3 linked regions of the Caenorhabditis elegans genome follow. The protein of the gene in region 3 purifies or fractionates together with the protein of the main gene of each other region. This does not show direct contact. Each region holds a gene or a part of one and is shown on either strand. Other genes may lie near its edges.

Region 1 (4,467 bases), on a different chromosome or scaffold from region 3:
TATCCTAAATTACATTTTTTCAAACTGTGAAAGGCCATTTAATTTTGTTGGAAAATGGAGTACTGCATCATTCATCTGAATTTTTGCAAAATTGAAAAAAAAATAATAAAAGAATTGTTCGGAGTTGTATGTATAACATCGTATCCAACTGAATCTCTTTGCCACATATTCCCGCAATCTCATTTACATTTCAGATCAAATGTTAATGGTGATATCAATATATTTGGGAATCGTAATTTGTATAGGCGCCATATGGGCTGCCACCAAATGCTATCACTACCTTCGGCAAAAAGCCGAAGGTATCTATCCGGACAGTGGTGAAAGATGTATGTGGGAGTGAACACCAACCTCGTCATGATGATACTCGTCTTGTTTTTTGGACCAATGAAATATTTTATTATTTTTTTTCCAACTTTTATGTTTGTTGTAGCATAAAATATTCGTACGAGAATATATATTATGCATACAGTCCTGGGAAAAAAATTGCGTTCAACCAAGCACTCGTGAGCTTGTAGGGAACTTTTGTTACTGGAAACAAAAACATTCATGAGAAATGCCGTATTTGTTCAATATTTCTTTCTATTAGCGTGTTTTTTTTTCATATTGTTGCGTTGAACACGATCAGAAAAATGTTTTTAGCTATAATAATTTATTGAAAAGAATCAAAGTTATTCCAGTGACTCAAATGTTTGAAATGATAAAATGAGAAAAAAATCAATACACTTCAAAATTTAGTTGTTGGTAAATACTTTGTTGTGAACATCAGTGCAAAAACTGTTACACATCTGCTGGCATGCCACGTAGTTTTTCTCTCCTGTGGTTCCAAGAGTCACAGTTTTTGTGTTTGATGAGCCGCTGCTTACATGGAACACCTATAATAAAGAAACAGTTTTTTTTTAACTTTTCAAAATGTTAAATAACATAAAATAAGCTATAATGACGGAATAGAAAACTTAAAAAAATTAACAAAATTTTTTCTTTTTTTTTAAATTTTTAATTACTTTTAAATTTTGCAATTAGAATTTTGAAAAGTTCTTTACCTCAAAAAAAAATAAATCAAAAATATTCAACAAACTAGAGTGTTCAAAAAAGTAAATGTTATCATATTAAAATGTTTATCTCTTACGTTTGGTAAAATGTTATCCCATTGTGTTTTGAAATCACATTAGAATTGTTTTGTATAAAAATATTTATGTGACAAACAAAATATGTACAATATTTTAATAATAATTGCAATACTTAGCCAGTTTCTGTGACAAGTTTCGAACAAAGACATTGTTAATATTAATGTTTTACAACGTATACGCTGCTTTTATACTGGGTAGTTATCAAAGATCATAAATAACCGTAATTTTTTAATAAATTTTTTGAAAAACTCGAAGCACCTCAATAGGCTTCTTTCAATTCCCTTTATATTCATAGAAAAAATTATTTTCAAAAATTTTGCCCAAATATATTGAACTTGGTTAAGTAGCATTCAAGAAAAAAACCAAACTTCGCCAACTTTATGGCTAGATTTATTTTGCCGAAATTAAGCGCCAAATACCGAGATATTTTGTCAAAAATCCCTTCCTTTTTTCTCAAAAAAAAACTATCACTTCTCTTTTGATAAAAGTTTCACAGTTTACTGATAAGGTTTATCTGTATTTATCTGTCGGTTACCAGCTCTACACACAAAAGAACATTTCCCTACAATTACCATAAAATTAAATAGCACCTTTTGTCGACGCAACTCATAAATTTTACCCTTGATGGCTGCCGCCATTGTCTCACTTTTTGATGACTTAGACTACGGTAATTTTATATCTTTTTGCTCAGTGGCTGTCATTCCTAGATCTAAGCCCATTCTAAGATAATTTACAAGTTTTTATCCTATATTTTTCGTTTACCTCGCATGTATACTGTCCTGCGTCTTGTTCTGGTTGATAATTTTGAATTTCCAGAATAGACCCTCTACTGTAGAACTTGTGCTTACCACCTGAAAACACCTTGTTTCAACTAACAAATTTCCTCAAGACAAACCTTCCAGGATTTGCTTCCCGTGACGAGTCCAGTAAGTTATGACACTGTCTTTCTTGGCGGATACCTCACATGAAATATTAACCGAAGCAGTCGCTAGAACTTGACCAAAGTGAAGTTGTTTGTCTCGGAAGACAATGTCCTCTGCAAAAAGTGTATTATTTTTTCAAAATCTCGACAAACATTGAGACCTACCAAAAACGATTACATCCATCTTGTTCATGTATACTTTACTTCCAACCTGAGCTTGACAATAGTACACACCACTGTCCTCCACACTGGAATTTCTGATAATAAGTCCGAGAGTGTAGTCGTCTAGTTTTTTGACCTCGACGTTTCCAGTTCTAAAACATTAGCTGGGTTATATTTAATAGGAAAATAGGGATCTTGAAATACCGGTCTAGTCCACCATGTTTCTTCCAGATCATTCCTGGTTTTTCTCCATTACTATCAGTCTTCTTAATAGAGCACACAAGAGAAATCTGGTGACCAATTGGTTTTTGAACTGGGTTTGCATTTGGGCTAATGGAAATGGTTATTTCTTCTTCTGAAATGTTCATTCTTATGAATAATAACACTTTTTAAATTTCTTTTCAACAAACCTGCAAACGAATAAGAGACTAGGAAAACTAGTGGTAAAAGTAAAAGACATAATTTAGTCATCCTGTTTTCAAGGAAGAATTTCAAGGAGACAACCTAGTCCAAATGATAGTAGCCACCGCTACTAGAGACTGTTGTGAAGGCTTCGTCAGGTGTCAGTAAGATTCATTCTTGTAAAATACTCGAGGCTTGGGTTACCACCACTGCCCTCCTCATCTCGCTCGCTATTTTTTCAGATTAAAAGAACGCCGAAGGCTATTAAACAGGCTGGAGTCTTTTGAAAAACGTGATGTAGGTGATTGAGGGAGACTATTAACTCTGGATAATTGTTCTGATGTTTTTAATGAGAAAGCTCAGTGATTTGTGCACTTCATGATAGTCTGGAAAAAGGACAATTTTATTGAAAATAAATCATCAAACATCATGAATTAAATGTGAGAAACTTTTAAATTTGCAGTTATTGCAAGGTACTTATTCCAATACAACTTGATATGATTGACAACTGTAAATGAAATACATTTCAGAATATTTACAACAATATATAAAATTTTAATACCGAAGGCAAGAAGTGCGAAAAAGTTAATATTTCTCAATAGTTTTTAATATTGCGAAAAATAGTTATTTCATAATTTATTTTCGATTATTCAACTTTAAATACGCCTGCCGATTAAACAAACTAATAAAATATAAATATGTTGAACAATAATTTAAGAAACAGTGACAGTGTGATGTTCTTATTAATTTTTTAACATATACATTATTATTGCATTATATATGTAGGATTAATTCTCATTCAGATCAGCACGTGAACCATTATGTCAATACTATTTTAACTAAGATTTAGAAATTATTTTTTTAAGCCTAACAAAATTCAAATACAAAAACAATCACATGTAATTTCAAAAAAATTGAAAAACTTTTGGTACAAAAATAATTTGAGCTCTTTTCGTTATTCCCAATTAGATTTTTCGTATTTTCTCTTCAAAAAAATATCTCGGTTGCGATCAAAAGTTTTTTTCAAGTAGCTAGGTAACATAAAATTGTAAAAAATAGTTTAATTTGCAGTTATTGAAATTTTGATCCATCAGCTGAATGCTAAAGGCGAAACAAGCGTGCAATGTTGAACACTGAAAAATTCTAGTGCGCAAGCATCATGGAGTAGTAACTTTTTACTGGTTGATACTAAAAAGATTTTGTTCAATTCCAAATTGTTCAGTTTAAATCGGTTATTGAAGTCTTCTTTTTGACAATTTTTCTCCCAGTTTTAAGACATCAAAAAAAATGTTTTGTATTACATTTTCAAATTTAAGTTGAGTTGAATTTTTACAAGAATGGAGCCAAAAAGTAAAGTTTCTAGCAGATTTCTTACTACCAGTCTGGAATTTGTTCAAATTGAAAGCTATTTGAAAGTTTTTTAATACTCACTAATTAAAATGTTATCACAAGAAAAAATAAGCTGAAAAAATCAACTTTAAAACTTATCGTACACTATGTCGTGAACAAGTGCTGTAAAAATTATTTTAATTGGAGAGATTGTGGACAGTTTAATCTACCATTCTAGCGCGGGCCAGTGCGCCCAAAAAGCGACACTGATTGGCACAAAACAGCACTGAGCTGCACAAGTCTAATGCCCAATTGGCCTGATAGCGTATTTATTTTTGATTTTGCCCAAGAAGCCCACTGGGAGCACCATTAGGAAGTTAACTCCCAAATCCGCAGAGCTTAATGCTTAAAAACGATCATCCTTTTAAACTTTTTTTTAGTCATTGGATCTTCAAAATTTTTATTTCAACGTAATCAGTAACAATTAACTTTTTTTACTTTCAGAAACCCTATACAAATGCATAT
Region 2 (3,221 bases), 2.0 Mb from region 3:
ATAACAACATTTTGCTAGTAGAGATTGTGGAATTTTTGTTGACGATAGTTGATTAAAAGTAGATTAAAAGTGTTAAAAATAGATTTAAAGTGTTCATCATATATTTTTAAGCTCTTGGTTTTTTCCAAGAGCTTTGCTATGTTTCAAATTGATCTTCTATGCATCTATTACTTTTATATTCACCCTCTTCCTTTTTCCGGTCTATTGTATTCAGGAGTTAGAGTCTATAAACACATTCATGCTCGTCTCACACAACAACCTCGCAGTTTCTTCCAACGCCCTTCACTTTTTCTTTTTTTTCTCCTTCTTCTCGCTCCCACCAACACCCCAAAACATTTTGAAATACGCGGGCACGCGCCTGTTTGCATTTGAGTGCGCGCGCATTGCCCCGACGACAGCCGAGTCGCACACTCCAACACAGCCGGGTCGCGTGCGACGCGGCTGTGCAGCGTGCGACGCGCCCCGCCTATCTCGCTCTCGGCTTCGCTCAGCCATCTTCTCTTTCGTCTCCCAATGCCACCCATTCCTCCACTCTTTGAAACTGTTATCTTTTGGCTCACTTCATTCTCCTCCACTTTCGATATCTTTTCTCTGTTGTCTTACGAATGCTGCTGCTGATAAATGCGTACAATCTGATGTGTACTCTTATCGAAAAAGTAGCCTGTTTGTTGACATGAAATATCTTTTGAAAAAAGTTCCCGATGACACATAACTGGGGAACTCTTCTTCTTTCATCTATTTCATTATTTCTAAACTGTTCAGATTTAAACAATTCACGTCAAAAGTTTTTCATGTTGCGGGCGCAAATACTCTGTACTCAAGTGCCTCCGAGCTTTGCAAATTATATTTTTAATACTCTGAAGAGCCTTATTCGTACTAACATACTCCTGTTTCGTGTCATAAATTGGGTCGCTCAAATAATTACCTTGCCGTTCTTCCATTATCCTTATCTATCTCTTTGACCTCCGCATTCCGCATTCACAACCGTTATTATAACTACTACCGAGTACCCGGTGTTCAATTAATTTAATTTTGTATTTTTTGCAGCCAAATCCGTTCAAAATGGTTGACCGCAAGGCTGTGATCAAGAATGCCGACATGTCCGATGACATGCAACAGGACGCCATCGACTGCGCCACCCAGGCCCTCGAGAAGTGAGTTATGAGCTTTCTCATTGCATTTTAAACGCTTGAATAATTCGATTGCCATGAACAACACTTGGTCGCTTAGTAGAGAAAAAGTGTAAAGAAATGTCGTTTAGCTGTTTGGAACGGCTCATCGGTCCCTTGATTTAAACTAAAGTGGACGGCAGCCCGAGTCTAGGGGAGGGGGCGAGCAGGAGCGACCAGCTGATCGAACAAATCTGATCCTTGTGCAAGAAAAAAGCGAAGCGATGAAAGTCTAAAAAATAAAATCAAAACATTTTTTTTTCAGATACAACATCGAGAAGGATATTGCCGCTTACATCAAGAAGGAGTTCGACAAGAAATACAACCCAACCTGGCATTGCATCGTCGGAAGAAACTTTGGAAGCTACGTGACCCACGAGACTAAGCACTTTATCTACTTCTACCTTGGACAGGTCGCCATCCTGCTATTCAAGTCTGGATAAATCCCATCCTGTTCTTAAAAAACATTCAATGATCTTTAAATTGTGACCTGATCCTACGTGTACCTTAGGTGGCGTAGGATCTTCAGTGTGCACTCTTGTTAAATCTTCCTTTTCCTCCCAAAAAACATTTTCCTTCGTCGCATTCTATTTATTTAGCTCAAACTGTTCATTTTCTTTGAATCTTCCTCCATCACCCATAAATCTTCTTACGTTGTCCGTTTTTGAGAGAAAAGAGAACTCATAATATTTTTGTTCTCGAAAAGTGCTCGCACTAAAAGTAAAAATAAAAGGATAGCTTTAAATCCCTTAATTATCTGTGCTTCATTTTTATACTCGAAACTGAACAAGGCAATAATTTAAGATAGAAATGTCATCAAACGATGTGGATCAAAACGATGATCGAATTGCTCAAATGATGATGCCAGCAGCAATTGTGACTCGGCTCATGAAAGAAGACAATATTTCTGCATCAAAAGATGCTCGAGACGTCATCGCTCGTGCTGCAGCAGTGTTTCTCATAAACTTGTCCGACGTTTCGGCTCAATCTGCTCGCGATCAGAAGCACAAGACGATCTCAGGAGATGATGTTGTCAAAGGACTCCGAGAGCTTGAGAATACTTCTATTCACAATCATGTAATTATGGGTTTCGAAAGAGTTAAGAAATTAAAATTTCCAGTGCAAGTCCGCCAACGATAAATGGAAAGTTATTAGTCAGCAGAAGGCTCTCGCTCGTAAAAATCCAGTTGAATCCAGCTCTGTCAATGCTGAAATGGATGACGACATTATTGACGATACTCCTGTCGATGGTTAGTTCTATTCTTTAAATCTGAAGTTTATCTGAATAATTTATAATATTGCAGATTCATTGATGAACTGATCACTCATAACCAACTCATTCCTGCTCAAAACGATCCTTCCTGTAAAATCTCATTCCGATTCTCAACGCGTGTCCCACTTTTGTCTCTAACATTTCACTTTGATAAACAATTTTGGCCAATAGTTTATTGAATGTACAAAACCCCGAAAAAAAATTAAAGCGATCTGAATGCCCCCGAAAAAGTGCCCATAAATAAGTGAATCGGCATGATCAATAAAATAGCGAAAAATGAGAATTGAATAATTGCACGAAGTTTGGCGAATCCATTGTCTGGAACTCGAAAGTCTGCACCAGAGGTAGCTGATCTCTTCCACATCACTTCCCAAGAATCGAATTTTTGCTCCTGTGTATTCTTCTTGAGCCGTATCAATTCATTGCAATTATTTGGGAATCCACGAGAAAGTTCAATAATTTGACGACTCAACTGCTCAGAATCATCGAAAAGATATCCATTAGTTTTCTCCTCAACGAGCTCATCAATACATTTGAATTTTAGAGCCAATGCTGGAACTTTAGCTCCAAACATATCAACAACTTTCATCGGAAGATCCAATCCAGACGTGCTTGTGTGCAAAGAGATTCCTAAGTCAGCAGAGGCTAGAATCTTTGGATAATCTTCTGCTTCCAACCATGGAGTCAATACATCGACATTCTTCAGATTTTTCTCGTGAATTTCTTGTAAATATTTCGCTTTCAGTGGACCTTTTCCAGTGATAATCATCAAAACTCGC
Region 3 (2,985 bases):
TAGATTAGGATATGTTATCAAAAGGCGTCTATTGAGATCTTGAAAAAATATTTATAATACATTGAAAATCATTTGATCTGACCCAATCGGAGAATTTGAGTATCATTTTTTCTTACAATGCTCACTCAAAAATCACAAGAATTTAAATACAAATTGATAGATGAACTCGAAACGCTAAATTCTTTCATTGGCGCCCTACAAAAATAGCGTAAGTATGACAAGTGAAGCAATTTGTTAAAGCGAAGAAGAACTTTACCGTAAAACCGGGTCTATACTTTCTTCTCCTACAATATGCAAAATTCCCGCTTCCCGCCGATTAATGATCTGCAACGTTTTTACCATATTTAAGCCTGACAACTGATGGCCGAATCGAATCTTCCACAGCAACTAAAACTTCAAGTGGAAAAGGAGAATAGATATGAAAAGTACTTCAAGCCGGCCAAAGGAACATCCGAACAGCGAAAAGAAAACCAAAAAATGAAGGAGTGTTCGAAGATATACAGATGAAAAGAAAAGAGAGCAAATAAACGTTTCGCAATACTCTTTGTAATGCACAAAATACAGTATAATTATTACAAAACAGTATTTAAACAATAATTATTTATAAATTAACAAAATGAACAAATTATAATTGAATCATCACTTTTTATCATTGTCACCGGTACCGAAACACTGTGTTCGTGTGACACACTCCATGAACGACATCAACTCCTTACCGCAAGCTCCCTACAATACATATTATTTATTTATTTTCGAGAACTCTAGAGCTAAATAATTGTTACCTGCTCTATTTCACCATCACTATTGGTCTTTTGGCACGTAATCGCTTCCCGAAACTCGAATCCACAAGGGCTTCCAACAAGATGACCGACACAGTGACATTCAAAATTGATTTGGCCATCAGCAGTTGTTGGTCCGGGGTTATTGCTTGGATAGACTTCATTAGGGTCCGTGTTAGCTAGTTGTATAAGATAATCGTCTTTAATATCTTCCCAGTACTCATCGACGCTCATTCTCACAACTTCATCTTTTGTTGAAGCCATTTCGAGATTATCACCTTTTCTGAAAGCAATTAATGTTTTTGAAGATAAATTAACCAGAAATCAAATATATTAATTTACGGACAAGAAGTGTTATGTATTTAATCAAATAATCTTTGAAAGAAAACAAATTCTAACAGTAAGTTTATTGTCCACGAGGACTACGTACGAGAGCGCTAAACAACTTGCACTACGAAACTCCGATTTTTTATAAAATTTCGCAATTTCTTTTATTTTTCTAATTTTCGTGGTTTTTTCTTTTTAAAATAGTGCTTTTAATTTTATTTTGTAAATTTTCAGAACTCGAAAAATGTCGTCGTTCGACAAAAATGACGAGCGAGCTCAGCTGATGGTGCCAAAATCAATAAACGAGGGAAAAGTAGTGAAATTGTCACAGAAAACCCTAGTTACTAAGAAAATTGAGCGCCAAGTTGTTCCCGAGGAGAAGTACATTGCTGGACTTGATAAAATTATAGAAAAAGATTATTTTCCACATCTCAAGAAAATGCAGGTAAAATAATCATTATTTATAAATATTTACTGTTTTAATGAGTTCTATTTTCAGGCACAGAAAGAGTATTTGGAGGCTGTTGCAAATAAGGACATTAATAAAATAAAAGAACTTCAAATGAAGTTCTGCAGTACTGGAAGTGTGCGGACCGATAGAAGCTTCAGAACCCCAATAACAACTCGTTCGACAACTGAGGCTCCTGATGTTTCATCTTTCGATGCAGATACACCGGGCCCTTCATCTGCTTCAACTTCGAGTGCACATGATTGGATGCAATCTCCAATGCCTTTTGCTAATGAGGAAGGAGATAATGAGGTTAGATTTATGATTTTCAATCCATTACTATCTTTCGCAGAGTTTCAGGCGTTAAATCGGAAACGAAAAAAGAAGAAAGAAGAGACTTTAACGTCATATCTCAACAAATACACATCAGAAGACAATGCTTCCTTCGAGGAATTGGCGAAAGTTATGAGGGAACGAGAAGATGCACGTCGTCCTTGGGTTTATAAAGCCGAGGAAGAGCATAACAAAAACCTTGTAAGATATTCTTTCACGAATAAAATCTGATATCGTCGAATTCGTAACTTAATCTAATTTCAGGTGACTCGACAAGCAATTGCTGCTGAAGCTGACGTGCAGTTGGCTTTAAAACATGCTGTAGATGCTGATGACAATAGACCTCTGAATGTAGACAATTGGGCATACAAAGCATGGAACACTGTACTCTTCAATCCGGATGGGGCAGCTCTGACACCTGCAGAGATTGCAGATGCAGCTAGAAAACAGCAAACTGAAATAAATAAACGTGGCACTAGGTTTCCAGACTCCGGAAAATTGAAGCCTAGCGACGAAGCTATGACTCGAGCAGCAGTGAGCCATGCTCTCGCGAATGCCGGAAAAGTTGATTTTTTGGGAAATGAAGTAACTCCAGCCAACTCATTCAAATTACTCGAAACACCGAATCCAAATCCTGACGACATGGATTCTCCTCTTATGACTTGGGGAGAAATTGATGGAACACCATTCCGACTTGATGCGCCTGACGTTACAGAGCATTCGTTGCCTGGTGCGGCGCCTGTATTCAAGATACCAGAGGTTCCGTATCGGGAGAAAATTGCACAATCTATGAATGATTCAATCGCGGCCAAATATAGAGACAAGAGAAAAGTTGCGATGAGAGCAGCTGAAGGAGCTCAGTGAGTTTTCATTTTTCAATTAAAAATTGTTTATTTTTTCAAGTTATAAAATATATTTCTCTATGGTATTAAAATCTATAACGAGATAATAGTACTTCAAATAATTTTCAACTTGGTAAAGTTTCAGCCGAACACCTGGATTTGGATCCAAGCGAGTCTCAGACAAGCTTGCACAATTATCTCCTGCTGCTCAAAAGTTGGCAACCAAGAAGCTTGGATTAAAAATGTTACCTGCTCA

What was found.
Region 1: the proteins of F42H10.2 (region 3) and zig-6 fractionate together in Caenorhabditis elegans (co-fractionation; one large-scale study listed by BioGRID). This does not show direct contact.
Region 2: the proteins of F42H10.2 (region 3) and pole-3 fractionate together in Caenorhabditis elegans (co-fractionation; one large-scale study listed by BioGRID). This does not show direct contact.

What each region holds. Positions count from the first base shown.
Region 1 is NC_003284.9:5,186,284-5,190,750, forward strand, and holds zig-6 (Zwei Ig domain protein zig-6), read right to left. Parts: upstream 2,795-4,467; 5' UTR 2,683-2,794; coding exon 2,622-2,682; intron 2,567-2,621; coding exon 2,416-2,566; intron 2,364-2,415; coding exon 2,215-2,363; intron 2,164-2,214; coding exon 2,023-2,163; intron 1,979-2,022; coding exon 1,890-1,978; intron 873-1,889; coding exon 732-872; 3' UTR 633-731; downstream 1-632. Other genes in the region: T03G11.9 (MARVEL domain-containing protein), read left to right, coding at 195-340. UniProt on the Caenorhabditis elegans protein: Probably not involved in maintaining the position of ASI and ASH head neuron cell bodies and ventral nerve cord axons of PVQ, PVP, RMEV, AVK and HSN neurons.
Region 2 is NC_003281.10:6,461,606-6,464,826, reverse strand, and holds pole-3 (DNA polymerase epsilon subunit 3), read left to right. Parts: upstream 1-1,970; 5' UTR 1,971-1,979; coding exon 1,980-2,246; intron 2,247-2,289; coding exon 2,290-2,419; intron 2,420-2,473; coding exon 2,474-2,490; 3' UTR 2,491-2,611; downstream 2,612-3,221. Other genes in the region: dlc-1 (Dynein light chain 1, cytoplasmic), read left to right, coding at 1,063-1,154, 1,435-1,612; algn-1 (Chitobiosyldiphosphodolichol beta-mannosyltransferase), read right to left, coding at 2,645-3,221.
Region 3 is NC_003281.10:8,488,703-8,491,687, reverse strand, and holds F42H10.2 (coiled-coil-helix-coiled-coil-helix domain-containing protein), read right to left. Parts: upstream 1,069-2,985; 5' UTR 1,044-1,068; coding exon 783-1,043; intron 727-782; coding exon 640-726; 3' UTR 584-639; downstream 1-583. Other genes in the region: Splicing factor ESS-2, read left to right, coding at 1,351-1,551, 1,606-1,866, 1,915-2,088, 2,152-2,747, 2,869-2,985.